Linked DNA regions of Caenorhabditis elegans. The protein of the gene in region 3 interacts with the protein of the main gene of each other region in a pairwise test. Each region holds a gene or a part of one and is shown on either strand. Other genes may lie near its edges.

Region 1 (6,155 bases), on a different chromosome or scaffold from region 3:
TTTCTAAAACGAAAACCAAAAGCGAAAAAGTCAAACATAAAATAACTTGGCGACATTTTTTTTCCAACTTCTCTTCAACATAATCCTTAATCAGTTTGATTCTTGAGAACAGAAAACAATTGAATAAAACAATGACACGAGATTTAGTTAGTTAGCATATTTTATTATTCACTTTTTTTCTTTGTCTTTAAAATTTTAGATTGATTTATATCTATTGGGTTCTTCAATTTGGAATCGAGCTTATAGATATACCTTAATCTTCCCATTCAGCGTTTGGTCTGACGTAGAAAATGTTCATTCAGGTCACATAGTTTCCAGCAAAAGTAGATATTGCCATTCCTCATCGACTATTGGATCAATAGATGGTTTTAAATGGTTTTTTTTTTCTGGTTACGGTACTCAATTTATAAAATTCAAGAAATCATTAATTTTCGTTTGATAATTGCCCAATTGCCCAACACTGAAATGGTAGAAGTGAAAAATTCTGTATTCGTGCAAAAAATCAAACTAGAATTCTCAGTAATTTATGATACAGTTCAAGACATAGTTGAAACACTGTCAGTCGACCGAGATAGAAACAAAGAATAACAGATAATAATGGTAAAGAGAGACGAGGATGAAGTAGAGGAAAATGATGAGAACTTACGGTCTGAATTTGGATTCTCGAGGATATCTGGTTATTGATTAAAACTAAGCGTTTTGAGAATGGAAACAATGCCGAGAGAACAAAACATGGCGCAGAAAGGGTATCTAAGAGAAATAGGAACACGAGTCGAAATTTGTGCAGTTTAAAGATGAGCTAATCAATCAATATCCTATAGATTGTTTTAACCCGATTTGTATCGGTGTTGTTTCACATTACTGCCATAGAAAATATAAAAAATTGTTCGCCCAAATAACCACTGCAACCACTTCAGAAGATGGTTAATTTGAGCTAACTGCGACGTAATATTTACAGGATTGCAGATTAGGTTGACAAGTGTCAAAATGCTCATTTTCGACCCGTGATCAAATTTCATATTTAAAAAGAAATCAATCGAGGGAAGGAGGGGACAGATAAATTACGTTTAGATTTGAATAAAAATGGTTGTTGGTTATCTACAATAAAATAAAGGGTACTGTTGTAGTAATAAAAATGAAGGTATGTAGGCGTGGATTTGGGCATGAACTGGGAGACGAACTGGCGAATTCCTATTATACTTTAAGTTAAATTGGCGAAATATGAAAATAGGGAAATAATAATAAAAAAATGAATGGGATACTCTAGTTGCTTCCTGACACGTACACCTTGGCAAGAGAATCGGCACCGGCAGATCCTATAAGAGATCTTGAAGGATGGAAAGCAACGGAGGTAACTGCTGAATCATTCTTTTTCCGGTGGGCAGAAATTTCCTGAAAAATACTACATTTGTACAGTTTCTTAATTTATAAAAAAATATACCTGAAGGCATGAACGTTTCTCCATATTCCACATCCTGATACTACCATCATGACTTCCAGACAAAAGATAAAGACCATTTGGATCAATAGCAAGAGAAGAAACTCCCTCAACATGTGCGATAGCTTCATGAATTATCGATCCGTTGGTGTTGTCAAAGTACCGAATCGTCCGATCTTCACCGCCAATAAGTGTGAGAGGCATTGTTGGATGACTAACAATTTTGTTCATTGTTGGTGAACCTGTAACCGCTCCGAAATCGAACACCATGACAGTGCTTCCAGTATCGATATCAATAATTTGAGCATAGCAATTTGTGTATGCAGCAAGTAAATGTGATGTTTCCGTAGATACAAAATCAACTGATGTCGGAAGTATTCCGGATTTTGGGGCACCAATAGTTCTGATAAGTGGTTCACCATTTCCTGGTTCCCATAGACGAACCGTTGAATCAGAACTGGCAGAAACAAGGCGACTGTTTGATGAATGATAAGCCACCGACCAAATTGCATCCGTATGTCCAGTAAGTGTTTCAGTTAGGACTCGTGGATCTATAATAAATAACATAACCTTAAATTTGAACTAATTATTAAATTAACTTTAGTCTTATTGTTTGGCGAAAATTTAAACTAAAAATAGCGTTGAATCGTTTGAATCTGTATCGCAAAAGGTAACTGATACTTTGATATTTGAACATGTTATCATAATTTGGCGAAATTTTGTTGTTAGCTTAAAGGCACGCATCGTTTTCCGAGTGGGTCTCATAACGATTTCAGTCATAGTGGTAGCTACGAATGATTCACTTTTATTAGAAAATTGATTTTGAGAGAAAACTAAACTTCTAAAATTGCACTGAGAAAGTCCAAATTCTTCATAAAATATTATGCATCTAGTGTCCCGTTTCTGCGAAAGGACGATACTAATTTCAATGCATAATCTTTTTTTTCCAAACGATTTTGCACAAAATGAAGCAAATTGTGATTAATTAGTTTTTGACAGCTCATTTTAATTAAGAAATAAATCTTACCATAAGAATCAAATGGATCCCCGTTTGAAGATGGTACATTGAAACAGCAGATGTTTCCATCGATACCTCCGGTGTAGAGATGATCTCCAGTTGGCGACAGGACTAAGCATAGAACAGGGCCTTTGTGTCCCCGGAATGTATAAACTGGCTCAAGCTCGGTACCACCACTGTTGTGTTTCTCATCTTTCTTTTGATCGAGATTCCATAATTTGATCAGACCGTCTTCCGAAGCAGTAAATAGTACGGGCTCAACTGGATGGAATTGCATCGCGCGAATCGAATCAAGGTGAGATCGTAGAGTAACTTTGATATTCCACTTCACTTGTTGTGCATTCGGATCATCATCCTGAATTTGACAATTATTTTTCTTTTATTTTTAAAACTGAAAAACTCACTTCATCTTTGAACTCGTCCTTAATGTCCATATTATCATTATCTTGCATTCCAAGAGCAACGTCCAACTCATTTCCGTTACCATATCCAAAATTAGCACTACGTCTACCTTGTCGCCGAACTGGAAGTTCTTCTTGTGCAGCGGCATCGATAGCTGATCGAATTCCTGGTGGAACATCAGTCTCTAGATTTTTCTGAACATCGTTGCTTGTTTTCTCTTCGGATTCTTCAGTTGACGTCCTTGAACGCCGCTTCACTTTTGGATCGTCCTTGTATTGTTTTATCAGTTTTTCGAATGAAGCTCCTTTTCCTGCCCAGTCATCGTCAGAACCTTTTTCTTTCGCATCCATATTGTTTAGAAAATCAAACTCTTCAAACGCCTTTGAGGCGTCAGCATCCAAGGCTGCATCATCATGTCCGTCATCGGAATCACTGTAATTACTTAGAACGATTGCTATGTGTTCAAAAAGAAAGTAGTGAATAAGTACCTGTCACTTTTCTCTTTTCTACCATTGAGACGTTCACTGGATGGAAGATCAGCCTGGAAGTTCAAAACAGATTGGTTTTTTTTTCAAACTATTGAATTTTCATACTTGGGGTAATAATCCGAGAAGATTTTTTACACGGAAGGATCGAACATCCATGATGTGCTCGCTGTATCCAATTTCTTCCAGATAACGTTTGAGAAGAAGGCGTCCCTGCCTGAAACTACCTCCAGCTTCACCAGCATCATTTATGTATGCATCAAGGTCGGCCGTCAAATGGCTGTTTTCTGAAATATATATTTTCGATCGGAACGTCTTCATAGAAATTACCGCTTGGCGCTGAATTTTCATTTGGAGATTCTTCCAGTGATGGTGGTTCTTCGCCGTTGTGGGTTAGTCGATAATTTTTGGCACGTTCTTGTTTCAGGCAGAATTCGAGCATTTTGATACGACGGACAAGATCTTGTTTCAAATTTTCTTGACCTTTTCTTTCTCCTTGTAGGAAAGCAATACGAGCCTACAAAAATTTCACATTACAATCGTAGAAAAAATATTTACTCACCTGCATTTCGGCTCTCTCTGCTTCCCACCTAGTTCGATCTAACTCATTTTTTGTCCATTCGTGTTGTATAAAGTGCAAAATACCCGACATTGTATACTGAGGACGAGTCTGTAAAGTTTTCGATTTTTACAGAAGCTGAATTCCAACTCAACTTACCGTTTCGTCCTTTGCTTTGTCATTTTGTGAGTTTGACAATTGACTGGCGTCCTCCATTGTAAACTACTCGAATCCGATCTTATTTCGAGTAATTTACGTTAATGAAGCAAGTGCAAAAGCTGGAAAGAACAGTTGAAAAAAATTACGAAACGTGTATAAGAAGATTTTCAAAAAGTTTAATTGCAATAGAGGACGAGAAGTTTGTGGCAAAATTGAAACTGCTTATTAGGGCTGTAATCAATATAGATGAGCTGATAAAATAAAAGTAGCATCAAGTCGTACGAGACTGATGAAAAACTGATTCGATTAGGTGGACGCAGCCCCGAGGCACGAGGAAGAAAAGGGAAGAGCGAGTAAAACGAGTGCCGTTGTCTGCGTCGCGTGTTCGGCGCGCGTCTTCATATTAACAATGGGGCGCATATTCGTTGCAATTATTGGCGCCTTTTCAAATTTGAAAGGTAGACTTTCTATAAGTACCGTATGCCACTAACAATTAAAAAATACAAATGTGAAATCTATTTTCCATTTGAATTTCAAAATGCTAATATATTAAGTGGCTTAGCAGACTGTATCCGTTAACCAAAAATATGAGAAACTTGAACTTTGCCAACATAAAACCACCAGCTGAAAATCAAATGCATTTACTTGGGTTTTGGATCTTGGAGAAACTTTTATTATATTATTTAATCACCTGCTGATGTAGTTAGAAAAAAGGAATGAGATTTTATTGTCTCAAATTTTATCTAAATTTCACGCGTATTACGTTTCAAGCATATTCAGGTACTTATTTGCATCACATAATATCTTTTTTCATCGAAAAGATTGTTTCAAAAACAAAATTGAAAAACAAAAACGGAATGATTTATTTGAAAATTAAAATTGATTACTTATATCCGATATATTCAATTTATTTTTCAAAAACAGTAAGATAACGTTCAGTTGGTGACCAATTTTTACTGAATAAAATAATGAGATCAAGAGAAACTTTCAAAAAAACTTCAATCTCAAAACCCGCTATGCAAGATTGTCTTAAAAACTCCCAGAAAGTTGCATTTGAAAATTTCTAAGTATTTTTTGAAAAAACCGGGACCGTCATAGTTTTGGCCAATACAATAATAAAATGTACAGCACGCTACTTTAACACCACGTATTATCCAATTGACATTTGGTGCTTAACCATAATGTGAGAAGATGATCTTCTTTTGTTAATGGATGATGATTTTCATAGTCGAACTGAATTCGTTTCATCTGCTTCCTGTTCGAATTTTCCACAAAAGTCTGCTCCAGTATTTTCCTTGTTTCTGTATTCATACAGTGTCCGCATAGCTGGCATTCTGGAGCCTCATCACATGATTCACATTTATTTTCAACACAAAATTTCAGCGGAAGATTGATGTCTCGGGAGTTAACAAGAGGATTTTGTTCGGATGTACGTGATCTAGAACGGGAAATCTAATTTGTGGACAGCTTCAAATGGAATAAACGAACTTGAACAAGATGTCAGCTTCTTTTGTAATTGGTGTTGAAATTCCAGTTAGAGAGAAAATGTTCATTAGAACTTGTTCATAAAGTATTTGATTTTGTTTAAAATGACCTGAAGAGAGATTAGGAGACATATTCGCCTGCAAAGATGTCTTGTAAATTTTAATGATTCTGAAAAATAAATGCATACCTCCATAAGAAAAACGTTCAATTGATCATCGACCACAAAATCAAATCTGCTTAATTCAAAGTATTGTGGATTTAATTTCAAGTTTTGAAGACTCATTAGCATTTTTGTTTGCTGTGTTCGGAAGACCTGAAAAAAGATAATGAAGTTCAGAAAAAGTGTGCAAAATTTTTTGATCGTCTCCTTTGAATATCTAGAAAATATGCATCACAGAGATTAGTTGAGAGTTCTAAATATTACCTCTCCAATAATATTTCTTATCTGCAACCAAATCTTGCTTGTATCCATTCCTTGCATTCCCAAATAAGAATCAATTGTACTCTTGAAGCTCATTTTTTGAGTGTTGAAGTATTTTTTCAATGAATTTATCTGAATATCTTGGGTATATTATTAAAGCTTTTAGAATTTGGTTTACCTCCCAAATA
Region 2 (6,514 bases), on a different chromosome or scaffold from region 3:
GAGAGGGCGGATCGGTTGAAGACAGTGGCAAACCGCTTCGTGCTGTTGCGTGTCCTATTAAAGTGCGGCTGAATAATAGGTGTCCGTCGTCGTCGACTTCGGCGCCATTCGTCCGTCTGTCAGTCCGTCAAACTTCTCCGGCCGCAGCTTCTTCATTTTCGAGAAACTGACGAATGCAACTCGATTATCCGATTTACTACTGCGCAATAGTTTTCTGGCCAGAAAAAAAACAGTTTGAAGGACGGAAGAATAAGATGAAGCCGCTATTGTGATGAGAAAAGTAGAAAAAGTGACGTAAATTCACGATGGCAACTCGTATACGGAAGACTATACGGTAGGTGTCTTCAAGAAGTCAAGCGAAAAGTTAATTGTTGCTAAATTGGAACTTTTTTGCAATGTTCTAGACTATCAAAAAACAATTGTACGGTAAGTGTTTGTAAATCGGATGCTAATGCCAATTATGGCATTGTTTCCGTTTCGACCTGAATGTAGAAAAAACTGTAAATCAAAAGATTTCATTAAAGGAAAAACAGAAAAAAATCAACTTTCTACTGAAAGTAAAGACCCGATTGAGATATTGGGTGGTGGTAAAAGCGAGATGGTACAGTAGATGCATTCGGCATATGACATTTTTGTATGCATAAAATCAATCGAATCTAGATCATTCCGAAGCTAAAACAATTAAATTACAGACATTTAGGGATTATAAAATTTCGAGTTGCTTTATATCATTCCTGGGAAAAAGTCGTTGTACAATTTCGGGTAGAATTTCTTGAAGTTCATCAATTGTTTCTTCTTTTCTGTCAGCGACAATTCCTTGTTGTCGATAACTGACTGAAAGCAATAAAATTATTACAGGAACCAAACTATTCATAAACTCACATTGATCATGGTTACCAGTGCTGAGTCAGTCTCATTCAGTCCATCTTTACTTTTCGAAGTTTTTGAACGAATTGATTCTCTTCGAACTGTATATCTCACTGGTGTCAGGTCACCTTCAAGCGAATTGTGTCTGAAAAATTATGTTTAATTGCTAAAAAATACAATTTCAAACAGGAAAAAAAGGCATGCAAAACAGAGAGAAGCATTCCGAACAAAACAATATTAATTTGTGAATTACTATACTTTCTCTCTTTTCGTTGCCATTTAATTTGTCCATTTACTGACTTTGCTCGAAGAGAGCTTTCCAATTGTGCCGGGCGTTGACCTAGTTTTCCTTTTTGTCGCAGTTCAACGAGGGTCTGAAAAGATTAAAAATTCCAGATAATTAAAAATAGCCAAAATCTCTGTTTTTCAGGTTTTAAAATTTCTGTAACAAACCTCGATGAAAATGTCTTGTTGAACATTTGTCATACATCCTCTCGGGAAAATAAAAGAAGACAGCTCTCCAATTATGACATTCACATTCTCTTTGTATCTCCGTGGATCCTTTTTCCCCAAATAATATGGACTTCTAAGATCTTCCACTGCATCCGTTCGCATAGTAAGTTGTAGCCACTGCACAAGTTGGTCGATCGTCTTGCGTATAGGATGAGGAACCATCAAGAAGATGTACATGACTGCCGTCGACAATTTTTCACCAGAATCCATATCGTTAATCAACTGCTGGGCAATCTTTGTAAGAAGAGGAGCGAATTCTGATGGGAACAACGGTGATGATCCGTTCTGTGTCATCTTCTCAAGACGGTTTTTCACTGCATCCAATGCTGCTCGACACCAAAGGTATAATTGTTCGTTATGGCTTGTTTTATGATTACTTGCGACAGGTTTCGCCTCAAAATAAAGTAATGGAGCACAGCAACGAGCCATCTGAAACCATTGACTTGCATCCCGGATCAATGGATGTGTTTCGATTAACAAATCCATATGGTCTTCCTGGTGCGGGTCAAGCCTTTCTTCACTTGCACCCAGTCCAACTTTTCCCAGAATGGATGATAAAAATGATGCATTGTTCTGAAATGAAATTATGTAAGTTTATGATCAAATATTTGTATTTAATACCTTTGAATCTTGTACCGGAAGAGCAACATCTTCGAGAAACTCAACGTCAATCAAGCTGAGTAAATGGAAGAGAGACAATTCATAGACTTCCGCTTCTTCCTCTTTTATCAACTGTTGTTCTGCTTTTTTGAGTTTTTTCTCATTCTTTTCTGAAGAAGACGAGAACAGACTCCACGTCGATTTCAAATTTGTCGAGCTTCCATCTTTTAAATTATCTTTGTCTTTGTCCCGACCTCGAGAATTGGATCTATTCCGGCGAACGAATGGAGAAAATAATCTCTTGATACTGTTACTGCGACGGCTGCTTTCTGATCGCGAAACTGATGCAGAATCGTCATGATTTCTTGAAGCGATCGGAGTATTCACAATATATAATCTAAAAATAAAAACAAGTAATTTAATATCATTCGAGATAAAAAGTTTGCTCACGATTCAGAATCTCCTCCAAGCCTGTAAAATGTACGTTCAGAATCAACAAATTTCTTCTGATGAGATTCTACACTTTGAATAGTATTCGACTCTAACCAAATTTCAAGCAGTTTTACAGCGTTGCTTCTTCCGATATTGTCGCGTGGAAACTCGTTGCGATGTGTTTCGATATATGCTGTAAGAATATCTGCAGCTTCGGCTCCTGTGAAGTGTTCTTCAGATTTTCTGAGCACGGATATGCTTCTTTTGAAATATGATTGCATTTGTTCCATCGTGTCTTTTGCTTTGAACTGGGATCGTGCTTGAGGCTGACTATTGTTTTCCTTATCATCTGAAGAAAAAATATTGAAATTTTTTATACTGACTGAAACAAACCGTCACGAGCTGGTTCGATTTTCAACGCGCTTCGCTGTGGCTTCATTGGAGCTTCTTTTCGTAATATCCCTCTCGGAGGTTTAGGCGGCGGCGACGGTGTGTTTTCCAAAATTACTGAATGAACAACATCTTCGTCATATGGGATACTGAAGTGACGAGACGAACTCATTTTTGACCTGAGGACATGATGGACGTTTTTGTGGTTAAAAGCTGGTAAGACACATGCAAAGCACACGGGAAAATTGGACAAAGGTGCATTTTATTCGAAAAAGTAGTGAGAACAAATTTTAAAAGTAGAAAATTGCATTTTTTTTAAACTTCTTTCATGCAAAACTTAACATTTATTTGTGAGAAACCTTGAAATTCGTAACAAAAAAGAGCGCTATATTTAAATTCTTATTGATGCCGCGAAATAATTAGTCCGAAAGGGCGCGTTTGCTGCGCACTACTGTAGGCCGAAAATTATCCATAAAATACATAGCATAACATTGTTTTTAAACTAAGTTTGAAACAATTATAAAACTGAAAAATGGCTGAAATGGTATTGGAAATTGCAATAAAGACATTTATAAACGTTCTAAAGTTGTTTTCCGTCAAGTGTCCCACGGTGTTATAAAGGAAACAATCATAAAACGTTGCAATATTGATTCGTCATGGGACTATTCTGCTCAATAAATTGTTGTTCGTTCTTACATTTTCCCCGACACTCTGCAAGAATATTGTTTTGTCTAGAAGATTCTCACGCTCAAAAGTTTCAATGTCCATGTTCTGGTTATCAGCAAAAAGGAAAAGCGCGTTTCCATTTCGTTGAAACCGTCCATCGATCACTGATAAGACTTCATCAGCATAGTTTCCACTGTTCGACCCTCCTACACTTCTCACCTCATTTATTTTAATGTGTATTACGATTTTACATGTGTTTTTTAAAGTTTCTATGGCCACTGAAACCCTATTTTATGACTAGCCTTTTTTATCTAGAACTATTGACAGTAGTGGTTTTTGTCTGAAATAGTTTGCAGGAAGAGAGTAATTAAATATTTGAACCGTAAATGTAAGCTAATTTTCGTTGAACCAACTCCATTGAATTCTTTTAAATTCCCTGACGAATAATGTAACACAGACGCGAAATTTTGCGTCAAAAATACGGTTCCTGGTCTCGACACGACGAAGTTTTATTGAATGCAAGAAGATGTGCTCCTTTAAAGTACTTCAAACTTTCGTTGCTGCGGAATTTTCATCAATTTTAAGTTTTTTGCACGGTTTGTTAAAATGTATGTTTTTGATTGTTTTATTTTAGTTTTAAATAAATACATTTTTACCAAAAAATTCCAGACAAACGAGAGTTTGAAATTACAGTAATCTTTAAATACGCACACCTATTTTCACTTAACAAAAAGTGCCCTGTCAAGACCCGGTACCGTATTCTAATTATTTCACGATTATAACAGATCAGGCGTAGGTCATTCTTCCAGACGGGTTATAGATTTTTTGTCTTGTAAGCAGGCAAATATTTATATGCATATGTGGGATTACTCAGAACTAAATTTGAAGTTCCAATTTCAAAAGTAGTTACGGATTTTCTGTTTTAACAAAGTAATTTTATAGAGTTTTAAATGAATTTCTGCTAAACATTAAATAAAATTATTTTTCGATTGCATTCGAAACAATTGTATTCTTGGAATGATTTAGATATACCTTGATTGACAGCTGCTAACAGAATACAGTCGATATATGACGTGTCCAAGTTTACTTTGATTTTCCCAAACTGGTCGAGATGTCGATGAAATTTGCATTTTTTCGCTTTTCTAAATAAACAGACAGCCTTGACGTTGGCCGGCTACCGTAACACAATAATCTCACAAACTGACGACACTGGGGTTTTTTTGCTGACACACTCAATTTTTTTCAGTTTTCTTCCCAAAAGTCAACATATATATTCCTTTTTCCAACAGATAAACAAAACATAAAATGGCAATAGTTGAAAGAAATTCGAAAGATAGAGAAATTGCGGCAAGCGGCGTTGAAAAGATTACGGTGGCCAGGGAGACTGGCACGGACACAGCACAAAGGAGCACTTATTCATTTGAATAGTTTAGTTTGATAGACTATTGATTTTATATTTATCAAGGCGGAACTAACTGAAAATGGGTGTTTACCGCGTGTTTTTGTTTTCAGTTATTCAGCTGTAGTACGTTGATAGTTTTTGAATATCAAAATAGTTTATCTAAATAGTATCACAACTAAATACCAACTATAATTTAGTCAAGGAATTTGTGGTACAGATAATTTTTTTGAGAATTATAACGAACTATTTTATAAGCATTGTCTCATAATACAGAACCATATTGTAATAACTTAAAACTCTATGATAAAAATCACAGTCAGAAAAATTAATTGGTAAACGTAGAATTTTAATCAAGGTTACAACTATTGGGCCAAAACAGTATCACTATGAGACTTCAAAACAAGACGTAGTAGGTCATTCTAAAACTAAATTCGGACTAGGTCATCATAAAAAAATTTATCTCAACTCTGAACCCTTGACTTTCAATCTGAAAGTATTATTTCACTAGATTGGAGGCCGAAGGAATATTTCCAAAAGTGGATTTTCGTAAAAAAAAACATTTTTTAATGGTTTCAAAGTTGTCAAGAGGAAGGAAGCTTCTGGAAGCTTTTTGAAAATTATTTGTATTTGAAACATATCTGAATTTTTTTTCATCTAATTTTTTATATAGAAAATTTAGGGTTTTATAGTTGAGTTTCGCTGCTTGCTAGTTGGGAAAATATTAAAATTTTTATGGTGCTAATGACCGAATATCATTTCTGTTCAAAAAAAATTCATGGATTTTTACGATCTACGATCAAAAAGCGACACAAATCTAAATAGACTATAGACTATATCATAGACTAGATAGTTACACCAAAGAAATAGGAAAAATTGTAAGTTAACTGTTTTGCTAACAGTAAAATAACAAGTTGGCTTTGTACATAGATACAACAGAGTGGACTTAGGTATCTGAAAAATGGCGTTTTCAAAAATGTTTCAAGGTCGTGAACATGAGTGAATTAATATAAACTTCTCAAATTTTTCTAAGCTGTTCCAATATTCATAACCCGGTATATCCATATTGATCAGGATTGCCACGTCATAGAGCCCTCAAACATCGACTGACAGGATTTTCCGATGGCCCTTTCGGTCTGCACGCACCGCCTGTGTTTTGTCAACGAAATATCGGTCCCGTCGACGACGACAACTGGGTCTCATTCTCACTCTCTGCATAATGAATGATGGCCTCTCTCCTGCATCTTCTCTCACTCTCTGTTCAGGCGGGGAAACCCCGTGTACGAGGACACCCGCTCTCTTGTCCACTCGATTTACAATTACTCATTGGTTCGATGACCGTTCCCCGCTCGTTGTGCACTTTTGATCTTTGGTCGCTTACGTTTAATCCTTGAGAATTGATACTATTTTGTTTTTATTTGATATCAAAACATTTTCCGTTCAATTTATTACCACCTATTCAAGACACACACTCCTCATTCTCATATCACTGAATCTACTTGATCCTTTCCGTTTTCAACGTTCTATTCTCAAGGTTGTTTGGTCATCTAGCGTGGTCAGTGTTGTAAAGCGCAAAGTGTTATCTTTTCTGTAAATATCATTCCCAGCTGGCATTAAACCTTGGTTCATCGGAACAAGTTTATGAAA
Region 3 (2,898 bases):
TTCTAATCCAATATGGATTTTCTAATCAAATATGGTTGAAATCTAATCAAATATGGCTGAGATCGTGCCATATTGGATTAGATTTCGACCATATTGGATTAGATTTGTTTTCTAATGAAATATGGAGGGAATCTAATCTAACATGGATTTCTAATCTAATATGGAGCAAATATAATGCAATATGGATTTTCTAAACAAATATGGTTGAAATCTAATTAGACTACTAAGCGTTTGTCTGAGTGCTACTGAAATTGTGATCTAGTTTTCTAAAATTATAACAAAGCAAATATTCATTTCAAAAACTGATACAATTTTTTTCATGTTTCAGGCAAGCTAAGAACGGCGTGGTTCAAGCAAGCATTAAACCAGGGAATCGATTAAATATCAAAGACATTTCAAAATCCACGGATACTGTGAGATCTCATCGAGAAGAATCATCTAGAAGCCATGAAACAATTGGACAGGTTAGTTATTAATTAAGAACAAAAATTATAAATATGGATTTCAGTATGAAGAACGAATAACCGGTGTGTCAAATGCTTCCAATAATAATTCAAGATCCGGTGCAGCTACTGGAATTGCACAGAGATTTAGAGATGAAGAAGCTGCGAAAAATGTAAGAAACTTTTTTGAAAATTAAACGGTTTTGTTGATTTTTATTTTTAGAAACGGCTGGACACCATATCCGAGATAGCAATGTCAAATGATTCATTGCAAAGGAATGACTCAAAGGTACATAATCTATTAATATTGAACTCTAACACGCTTTGAAAATTAGTATTTCAGTCTCTTTTAGTCTTGCGCTTTTTTTTGGATTTCAAATTCAACAATTAAAAATTTTAAGAAACCACTTTTCGTGAAAGTTGAAAATCACTATTTCTAAATAATAATAAAAACTTGTAGTCTCCGTTAGTATTGCGCTTACATAAATTTAGTAGAGTTTGAAATCAATGTAATCTATGAAATCAAATAATGGAATTATTTCAACACCACATTTCGCAAAATAATAATTGTTTTCAGACAAACGTATTCAATAACATTGATGGTTCACGAAAAACAATATCCCCGATGGAAGTTGATCTGAATCCGGGTTTGAGCAGTTCGATCAATTTGGAAAAAATATGATTATCACTAGCTATCACCATGTCTAAAACTATATCATTTTTGAAATCGATATCATGATGGAAAAACGGAAGATCTCTTGTTTCTTGAAAAATAAAGTTATTTCCTAATATATTTTTAGCTTCAAAATATATATAGTAATTGTCACAAAGGCAGACTCTGATTTAATAAAATATGTGAAACCAGGTGTGGGCGGCGATTGAAAATTTTTGGCAATTGTCAGTTGTTGTAAGTTTTCATATCCAAACGATTATTTTGAAATTTTCAAATATCACATTGCATTCAATAATTATCTGGCAAATCCCAAAAATTATGTTCATGACTATTAGAAAAGATATAAGTATCTCGTCATTGGAAACCAGACATTTTTCCATCTCATCTTACAGTAATTCCAATTACACTTTTGCATCTTACGTACAATTTAGTAGAAACCCAGCGCAAAACGAAATGCGATATCATGTGAGAACAAACATAATACAAACAAATACATATCGGTGAGTCTCCAAGAAGTTCAAGCTTTTCCCAGTCTGTTTGCTTTTTGGGCCTTCAAAACTTTTTTTACTTTTTTGCGCAAGCATGGTCGTTGAGAAGTGTTAGGACACTCCTTTTTTCCACTCCTTCTTCATCCAAAATGAATGACAAAACTCTTGAGGAATTCACTTTGAGCGTCCACCACTTTCCAGACACTTTCACACATTTTTAATTTGTTTTCATGTCTTTTTTCTTTACTTAAATCTTCATTTTAAAGATTTAATTATACTTTAAAAATAATAGTTCATAGTTGCAATGTTGGATCACAATAGACTGGAAGAATTTATCGAACAAATTCGTCTTACTCCAGCAATATGGAAAAATCGAGAATTTGATATATCTCGTGAGCATATGAATGAAATTTGGGCTCATTTCGGGCACACTTTTGATATTTCTCGTGAGTTTTGCACATATATGAAAATAATATCCAACAGATTTTTAGCAAAGGAAGCTGAAATGCAATGGGAATATCTCATTCGGCTTCATCGATTTATGAATAGAAATGCAAGTTTAGAGGTGAGCAGAACAATTTAAATTTCAAGAAATAAATTTCAAACGAAATGTTTATTTTCAGCAATTTCGAATTGAAGTTCCTTCCCTAGAAGATGATTTTACACCGGCAGATACTCTTGTTGCTGAATCACTTGCTATTTTCTTGAAACCAACATTAGATGAACTTTTATTGATATCGAAACCATCAGAAACTTCCGTCTGAAACTGCAATAAATATTTTTTGTTTTTTTTAAATATTTAATATTGCTAAACGATATTTTGAAACTTACAAATGTAGTGATAAAGTGAGTTTTCAAATCCAATCATTGCCAGGAAAAAGGTTTTTTTTAATTTTGGGGAAAGAAAATAATAAACTAATAAGTTCTGAAAGTAGATTTTCTGGAAAAATGTTTTCTCAATTTATATCGGCCTGCTAATGTAAGCCATCCAAACAGCGCTAAATTCACCAAAATTCCTTATGATTATTTTTGTACAGTTTTTACGCGGGTATTTGCAACTCATTACTTTGGAAATCGGTCAAAAAATTGTTCCACTAAAAATAATATTAATAATATATGTTGATTATGTTTTTAAATGCCCGGGGAGATGATCGATAATGCGACAAAAGACTGTAATTCTAAAGAAACACACATTTTTAAAAATTGGAATTTTGCCAAAGCTTTCATTCAGAAATTTATAATTATGATTGATTTTCAAATGTGCTATTCAGCAATGTTGAACTATTATTCGTCT
Region 4 (7,648 bases), on a different chromosome or scaffold from region 3:
ATTTGGTGGAAACCGGTTACGGTTTTTCATTTTTTGGTCGCAGGTTTATTGAAACTAACGGTCTGAATGGGGTTTCTTAATGGGAGTGACCGTTGGTTGTAGTTTTGGAGGAAATTGGATAGAGTCAGGTTTCTTGTTGAGGAACGGCAAACCGGCAAATTGCCAGAATTGAAAATTTCCGGCCAAGCGGCAAATTGTGGGAATTGAAATTTTCGACAAATTGCCGAAATTGAAATTTCCGGCAAATCGGCAAATTGCGAGAATTGAAAATGTTACTTTTTTTTTAGCTTTCAGTGAATGTTTATTATTAATTTTCAATAATAATACTGACAATATGAGAAAGATTTTGGGTAAAAATTCGAAAAAAAACTGTGACCGAGTTAATGACATACAAAAAAGCACCGGTTAATAAAGATCAAATTCCAAAAAAAAACTATTTTTTCAGCAAAGAAAATATGAGATCAATGATTATTATTATCAATTCTATGAGGCATTCTCAGTGATGATGTGGCTTTCAGGATACGCTGTTTACTGGCGTCGAGTGGGCTATTGGGGACACTTGAGCCAATTCCAGATGATCCGGATGAGCCATTTACAGATTGGAGCAGAGAAACTATTGGCTCGTTGCCAGAAATCATGGCCACATCCATGGCGGTTCGTCCCATAGAGTCTTTGATCTCTGGTTCGGCGCCAAATTTGAGGAGCAGGTTGACAAGATCGCGGTCGCCGATTTGCGCGGCAATGGAGAGAGCAGTGGCACCCTGGAAATTGGTACTGTATCTTATCTAGAATGATAGGTTTACTGTTGGTAACAGTACCTTAGGCTACTGTAGGATTAAGGTTACTATTTTCTAGCAGTTCTGTTATACAATAATGGCTACTGTAGCTCAGGGGTACTGAAGGATTGCAGTAAGCAGAGGATACTATACTCTAGCGACTCTGTGATAATATGGTAGGATACTGGTATTGTATACATGATCCTTATTTAGTTGGACATGATTGTTTTAGGCTAAGCAAACTATAGTTTATGGGTTACGATATCTTAGGGTTACTGTAGAACTACGGCCAGTAGGTTAAGACTACTGTAGTTTAGGGTACTGTAGGACTAGTGAGTTAACATACCTGTCGATCCGTTCGATTCGGGTCAACTCCACAACTATCCAACAAGAACACCGAAATCGCCACGTGTTTCGCCCAAACTGCAGTCATCAAAGCTGTACGCCCACCTCTATCAACTGCCTCAAAATTTACTCCACCAATCCTCTTCAGCATTTTCGCTGCCGCCACGTCATTCGTCGAAGCGACCACGTGTACACAAGTTCGGCCATGAGCATCCGAGTCGGATGAGTTGGCACCATGGCCTAGATAAACCTCGGCCACGAAGATCAGATTGGAGAGGATTAGGGTGTGGGCTAGTGGGGTGCCATCGTGGTCCCGTTGGCTCCAATCAGTGATGCGAGGGGATATCAAGTCGATTATTGAGGTATGAGCTGCCATTGAGGCGAGGGATAAGGCAGTGCGACCTTCGTGGTCAGGTTGGTTGATTATGTCGGAGATCCCCATTAGGTACTCCAGGACCTGAAAAGATACATTGTTGTTTGGTGACCTTACAGAGCAAGAGGCCTTATTTCGGCTTGATCTACGTAGATCTACAAAAAAATGCGGGAGACGAGACGCAGAGTTCTCAACTGATTTCGCATGGTTAAGAACGTGCTGACGTCACATTTTTAGGGCGAAAAATTCCCGCCTTTTTGTAGATCAAACCGTAATGGGACAGCCTGACACCACGTGCTTTCGAAAGCTATAAACAATTTTTTGAATTTCTTAGAATATTTTTTAACATGTTCAAATTTTTGCAACAAGTTTTATTATAGTTTTTAATTCCGCGCCAAATTTTTTGGATTAATTTTAGAATGTGTTTTTTTTTGAAAATAAATTGCAGCATTTTATCGTTTTATCGAGCATAAATTCGAAAAATAAAAAACTTTTTCGAACCTAATTTTTACAAGTTTTCTGGAACTTTGATTTTAATTTTTTTTTTAATATTTTGAACTTGGCCCCCAAAATTGCAATTTTTTTTAAATTTTTGAATTTTCTATAAACAATTTTATTCGATTTTCCTACCTTCAAATTTCCATTAGCCGCCGCAATCATCATCGGATGTTGTCCATATCGATCCTTTGCCTCTACCGTATGCTGATTCGTCAAATGCTTTACCAGCTCCACATGATCATGGGTAACAGCATAGTGTAGAGCCACTGCACCATCATTATCCTTATGTCCCTCATCCGATCCAACTGAGCACAAGAACTCTACCACCTCCGGGTGACCATTAATAGCCGCCCATTGAAGAGCAGTTCGCCCATTGTTATCGATAGCATCTACGTCTGCTTTGGCGGTTTTTGTCAAAAACTGAACAGCTTCCAATTGACCTTGACTAGCAGCTAACATCAATGGAGTTTGTCCCATATTATCCATGACGTCAACTATGGGGTGCTTCTCAAGAATCAATTGGAGGCAGGGGTCCCCGTGGTAGGCGGCCAGGTGCAGGGCCACGCGGCCGTTGGCATCTTCAATTTTACAGTCCGCGTTGTCTGTAAGATTTTATTGTAGATTGTAAAAAATATTTTTTTTTTAAGTTTTTGGAACATCCTGAAAACTCCCAAATTTCCTATAAAAATTTTGGACCAAAAAATTTCAATTATCCGCTAAAATATCTCAATGATTTGAACTTTTCGCAAAACTTGTTCTGGGAAAAATTGGATTTCCCCCAAATATGTTCTCTAAAATTGGAATTCCTCGCCAAAAATTATGTTTAAATACTGGAATTTTCAGGAAAATTTTTCTCCGTAAATTTGAATTTCCCCCAATTTTTTTCTCAAAAAATTTGAATTCCCCGCCAAAAATTTTGTTAAAAAATTATAATTTTCCGGAAAATTTTTGACCACAAATTTCAATTTTCCGCTATAGTATCTCAAAAATTTGAACTTCTCTTTTTCCAAAAACAATTGTTGATTCCCGATAGAAAAAATCTTTAAAAATTAGAAATTCCCGTCAAATTTTTTTTTGAAAAAGAAAAAATGGGACGAGGCTAAAAATCCTTACGTTCTAACAGCAATTTTGTTGTTTCAGAGTTTTCTTCTTGTTTCGAGCCATTTGAAAGATTCAAGTGCAACGCGGTGGCTCCGGATTTGTCGATGGCATTTACATCAGCTCCATACTGAATAATAACTGACACCACATCCTTATGACACATGAATGCTGCTGCCATCAGTGCGGTTCGCTGCTCAGAATCCCTCCGATCAACTTCAGCGCCGGTTTGCAGGAGAAGCTGAACTGCGGCGAGCTGGCCAGACCAGGCGGCTGCTCGGAGAGCCGTTCGATCACTGTGACCACATTCATCAACGTCGACACCTTTCTCTAGAAGAAGGTGAAGGATCTCGAGTTGTCCGTAACAGGCGGCACTTCTCAATGCATTCCATTCTCCGCAGCAGGAGGAAGCGACGAGATGGGGGAAGTGATCGGCCAGAAATCTGCACATTTCAATGTTTCCTCTGGCCGCGGCGGTGAGCAGGCCGAAGCAGATGTCCTGGAAGATAAATTGATTGAAAATATTAGGATTAGATTTAGTAGAGCAACCGACATTGTACGGGTCAAATGAGACTCCAACCCGTTTGTTGTCGGCTGCGATATTTCGAAAACATTTCGAAACATATCATCGCAACCGACAACTAACGGGACCTCGCCAACCAAAATGGTTGAGGGGGTTCAACCCGTGAGACGTCGGCTGCTATTACTTTTCACTTTTCACTGAACAAAGGTTGAACTTCTACCAGCTTTTTTTTCAAAATTTTTCGGTCGCAAATTCAAGGTTATTTTTTAAGAAGCTACGACGCGAAAATCAAATTCAAGCTTTAATTTTACCGCGAAATTTTTAAATTTAAAAACTAATTTGGTGCGAAATTCAATTTTTTAAACATTTTTCAGCAGGGAAAAATTATTTTTTCATAAAATTTTGGCGCAAAATCCAAAAATATTGTATTACGTCGGCTGCCAGAAATAAAAAAAAATCTTACCATAGGCACCGGCTTCATCTCCCGAAGAATTGCATCCAGGTAGCTGACATCTCCAACAGAACAAGCATACACTACGTCATAATTATTTTCCTCCATTCTTGCTCCAGCTGATTTTAAAAGTGCCGTCGTTGGTAGATCGATAACATGGCACCGGAGAACTAAATTCCCGGCTCCGACGCTTTGCAGAGTCTTCACAGCATTCAAAGGATTTGTTGTAGAGTGAGAAAGGTGATAAGCGAGCTCACAAATATCCTGAGCACTCTTTCGTCTTTTCGTCTTATAGTGCTCTGCCCACGCAGTATGACAACGGAAGTTTTCCTCGCCGATCAACTGGAACCAGATATCCGGCACGTGGAATATTTCAGATGGATTTTCAGATGAAGCTGTTCCGATAAGAGAAGTGATAATGCGAATGTCCTTTTCCAGAACTGATATATCTCGGGAAACGAGCATCTGGGAAACGGCGAGCAGCTGCTGGCGTGTCGGTCGGTTACGGCTGGTCTGGAAAATTTTAAGATATATTAATGTAATATTTTTTTATAATCCAATCTAAAAATTCACCTTAGCCAGTCGAACAATATCCGCAAAACTCCTCGGTAGACTTCTCGCCACTAAGTGCATCATCTTCTCTACCCCAATCGGCGGTACCATATCACTTGGCACCATGCCAAGTTCCACAGCTCTCGCCAGTTGCTCCACGTAGAACCACGAACCGTCTGACGCTTCACGGACCTCTTCCACGTGGCAGTGCGGGAGTTTCAAGCGAATGAATTTGTCAAAGTCCGAGTCGATATGGAGCTCGAGGAGCTCAGTTTCAGAATTGGTCCGGTCTCGTGACGTGGTCACAATTTGAATCCATGGTGGCAGAATCTCAACGAGCATCTCCACCAGCACCTGCGTCTCCTCGTCCTCCACACTATCTATCACCAAGAAAACTGGCTTCGATGTGGAAGGCATGGTCTCGAGGGGAAGACGCAGAAAATGGTCGAGAGCGGATACCGTATCCTCTAGAAGGGTTACTGTAGTTAAGCGGGGTAAGACGAGATTAGGGAATCGACGCATCAGTTGCTCTCCGAGAGATCGGATTACGGTAGGGGGCTCCGAGGATTGAGGCTCGTCGTGACTGCAGAAGTGTGAGGCAACGCATTCGGACACTTCGGAGAGCTGGAATTAGGTGTTGTAGGATTATTGAAGTGAGGTAGGGGTACTGTAGATCTACTGTAAAGCAGGTGGATAATTAATCTTATGGTAACTAGCAGCTAACATCTTACGGGACTCTCATTGAGTCTAATGAATTCCTGGCCTGCAGGATGTCGGCCGCTCGAAAAAAAAAAGTAAAACATTTTATTATGCGAATTTCTAGAGCAGCCGACATTCTATGGGCTCCCTGTACCACACGATACTCCCCCAAACTCCCTAGCCATAATGCTCCTCTCTCTCAAGTACCCATATGTGCATTAATACTTCTCACTCCTTGACACATGCTCCATCGCCTTTTCAAGGGTCATTCAATAGGCCTCAAGGCATCATTTTGCAACTACGATTTACCGGACAATACTGGTTAAACAACAGAGCATAATTTGGTTTTGAGAAAAACGAAAGTAAAATTTTCAGTAAATTTCGAGAAAAAAATTTTCGTAGCAATTTTGGGCATTTTCTCGAACATTCAAAAAATCGAGCCTATGCCTAAAAAGCCTAAGCCTAAGCCTGAGTCTAAGTCTAATAGTAAGCCTATGCTAGGCCTAAGCCTAATTTTTATTCAAAACTCACTTTCCGTGCAAACCAAGTTTTTCCGGAATGCTCTTTTCCAATAATTTCCAGCCGTCTAGAATTTGCCTGCTGAAACCATTCCAAAAACTTGCTCATTGCCACATTTCTGGGTGCTCCATCCAACGGAGCACCATGGGCTCCGTGGCTTAATGGTTGGCGCATTACTTGAGCATTTGATTGGTGAGGGGAATATTCTGAAAAAAGTGTATTAGAAAAATAGAGTAAATTGTTAACGTAAAGTAAAGAGGGCTAAAAGTCAAATCCAATCTATTCATTTCTCGGCACCCGGGCTCCTTCCTCAAAAACCCATAAATCAAGGAAAAGCGGCTCTCGGCCTGACGGAAACAAAATTGACATGTCATCTGGAGCTTCCCCTTCGGTTGAGCCAGTGGATGAGCACAAGAGCACCCCATCCGTAACAGGAGAGCACAATGAAATGAAGGGAGGAAGAGCAAACATTTGGAGCATTGAGTGTCTCTTTTTATGTAGATTTACGTGAGAAAATTGGGTTCAGGGGTATGCAAAGGGTATAGGGTATAGTTGATAATTTTCAAAAACTGATCTGTAGACATAGTGGTCAACTTATGATATTCTGTAGTGAACACCAGAAATTTCAACAAAAATTCAAAAATGTCGAAAAGTTAATCTGATTTTCACCTCTTATACCTTGAAAAATGCCGGAAAATGCTACAAAAATCTTCATTGGACCTAGAGATAATTGCAACTTGTACTATAATATGAGATTATCAAAACTTCAAAAAAAAACAGATGCACTCTTAACTTATGATAATAATTAGTAATGACTTCTAGAACTAGATTTAGAGAAATTGTCAGCTTGAAATATTAATATTTATTGGTAAATGTCAAAATATCAAATTAATGATTTTTTTAGAATAAAAGTAAAGTAGAGTGAACAAAAACAAAAAATACTAATCAAACTCCTATAGATTAACTGGATTAGTTAGTAGATTAGTTGAAGAGAAAGAGAGAGAGAGAGAGAGAGAGAGAGTAATATTTCATGGTGACATATGGGTCAATTGGTATATGATTAGGTACTTGCCAAGACCCCTTATTTGATTGCTACCAGCTAGAAGGGTGTCAATAAAATTACTTACGTAAATTGACAACACCTTTTGCTCAACACAAATCTACATAAGAAAAAAAACACAAAACGCGTAGTTTTGGCATTTACCAACTAATATTATAAGTTGACAATAACCTACACTTCGACTAATCCATAAAAACTTAAACCATTCAAATAGTTAACTTCCAACAACCCACCACCACTACCGAGCACATTAAAATTACCAGTTTCCGTCTCTCTCTAATTCTCGAAAAAGTAGGACATATCCTCCCCGGATGAAGGACGGGAGATTGAAGAGGAGAAACAAGGACAATACTACAAAAGTATGCAAGAGAGGGGAAGGAATGGGATTATAATGATCTGGGAATATGAACAGTTAATTAATAGGGGGAATAGGCAGAAGTGTCGTAGGAGAGGTAGTGTCAATTTTTCTTATTAGTTGGTATATTCCAAAAATGCCAAATTTCAGTGTTTGTAGGAAACTTTCAAAATCCACATTAAAAAGCGTTTTAATTCTCCGAAATATTTTTTAAGTTACTGAAAATTGTCTAAGATTACGATGGTGCTAAAAATGCACCAGAAATTGTCAAAAAGTTACAAAAATTGCCAAAAAAAGCACTAAAATTGCACTTAAAATGCCAAAAATTAACTGCATTGCTGCTAATTGTAAGGAACAAAAACTGCCGAAATTATACCAAAATTGCAAAAATATTACTTA

What was found.
Region 1: the proteins of F13H10.1 (region 3) and cash-1 interact in a two-hybrid assay, tested with the Caenorhabditis elegans proteins (one large-scale study listed by BioGRID).
Region 2: the proteins of F13H10.1 (region 3) and toe-2 interact in a two-hybrid assay, tested with the Caenorhabditis elegans proteins (one large-scale study listed by BioGRID).
Region 4: the proteins of F13H10.1 (region 3) and T28D6.4 interact in a two-hybrid assay, tested with the Caenorhabditis elegans proteins (one large-scale study listed by BioGRID).

What each region holds. Positions count from the first base shown.
Region 1 is NC_003283.11:10,360,288-10,366,442, reverse strand, and holds cash-1 (Striatin N-terminal domain-containing protein), read right to left. Parts: upstream 4,183-6,155; 5' UTR 4,119-4,182; coding exon 4,062-4,118; intron 4,014-4,061; coding exon 3,906-4,013; intron 3,861-3,905; coding exon 3,674-3,860; intron 3,631-3,673; coding exon 3,452-3,630; intron 3,400-3,451; coding exon 3,347-3,399; intron 3,300-3,346; coding exon 2,861-3,299; intron 2,812-2,860; coding exon 2,466-2,811; intron 1,990-2,465; coding exon 1,442-1,989; intron 1,393-1,441; coding exon 1,264-1,392; 3' UTR 509-1,263; downstream 1-508. Other genes in the region: putative tubulin polyglutamylase ttll-15, read right to left, coding at 5,199-5,499, 5,550-5,683, 5,734-5,859, 5,971-6,099, 6,146-6,155.
Region 2 is NC_003280.10:6,516,688-6,523,201, forward strand, and holds toe-2 (Target of ERK kinase mpk-1), read right to left. Parts: upstream 4,689-6,514; 5' UTR 4,501-4,688; intron 2,982-4,500; 5' UTR 2,975-2,981; coding exon 2,806-2,974; intron 2,762-2,805; coding exon 2,431-2,761; intron 2,378-2,430; coding exon 2,002-2,377; intron 1,954-2,001; coding exon 1,321-1,953; intron 1,242-1,320; coding exon 1,126-1,241; intron 1,013-1,125; coding exon 883-1,012; intron 835-882; coding exon 724-834; 3' UTR 501-723; downstream 1-500. Other genes in the region: C56E6.7 (uncharacterized protein), read left to right, coding at 1-170.
Region 3 is NC_003282.8:11,002,677-11,005,574, forward strand, and holds F13H10.1 (MADF domain-containing protein), read left to right. Parts: upstream 1-1,896; 5' UTR 1,897-1,908; coding exon 1,909-2,050; intron 2,051-2,095; coding exon 2,096-2,169; intron 2,170-2,227; coding exon 2,228-2,368; 3' UTR 2,369-2,393; downstream 2,394-2,898. Other genes in the region: F13H10.9 (uncharacterized protein), read left to right, coding at 329-464, 509-616, 667-732, 1,021-1,125.
Region 4 is NC_003281.10:11,358,848-11,366,495, reverse strand, and holds T28D6.4 (Nephrocystin 3-like N-terminal domain-containing protein), read right to left. Parts: upstream 6,041-7,648; 5' UTR 6,009-6,040; coding exon 5,847-6,008; intron 5,241-5,846; coding exon 4,638-5,240; intron 4,578-4,637; coding exon 4,077-4,577; intron 3,933-4,076; exon of another isoform or gene 3,710-3,932; intron 3,590-3,709; coding exon 3,106-3,589; intron 2,595-3,105; coding exon 2,125-2,594; intron 1,579-2,124; coding exon 1,123-1,578; intron 762-1,122; coding exon 462-761; 3' UTR 298-461; downstream 1-297.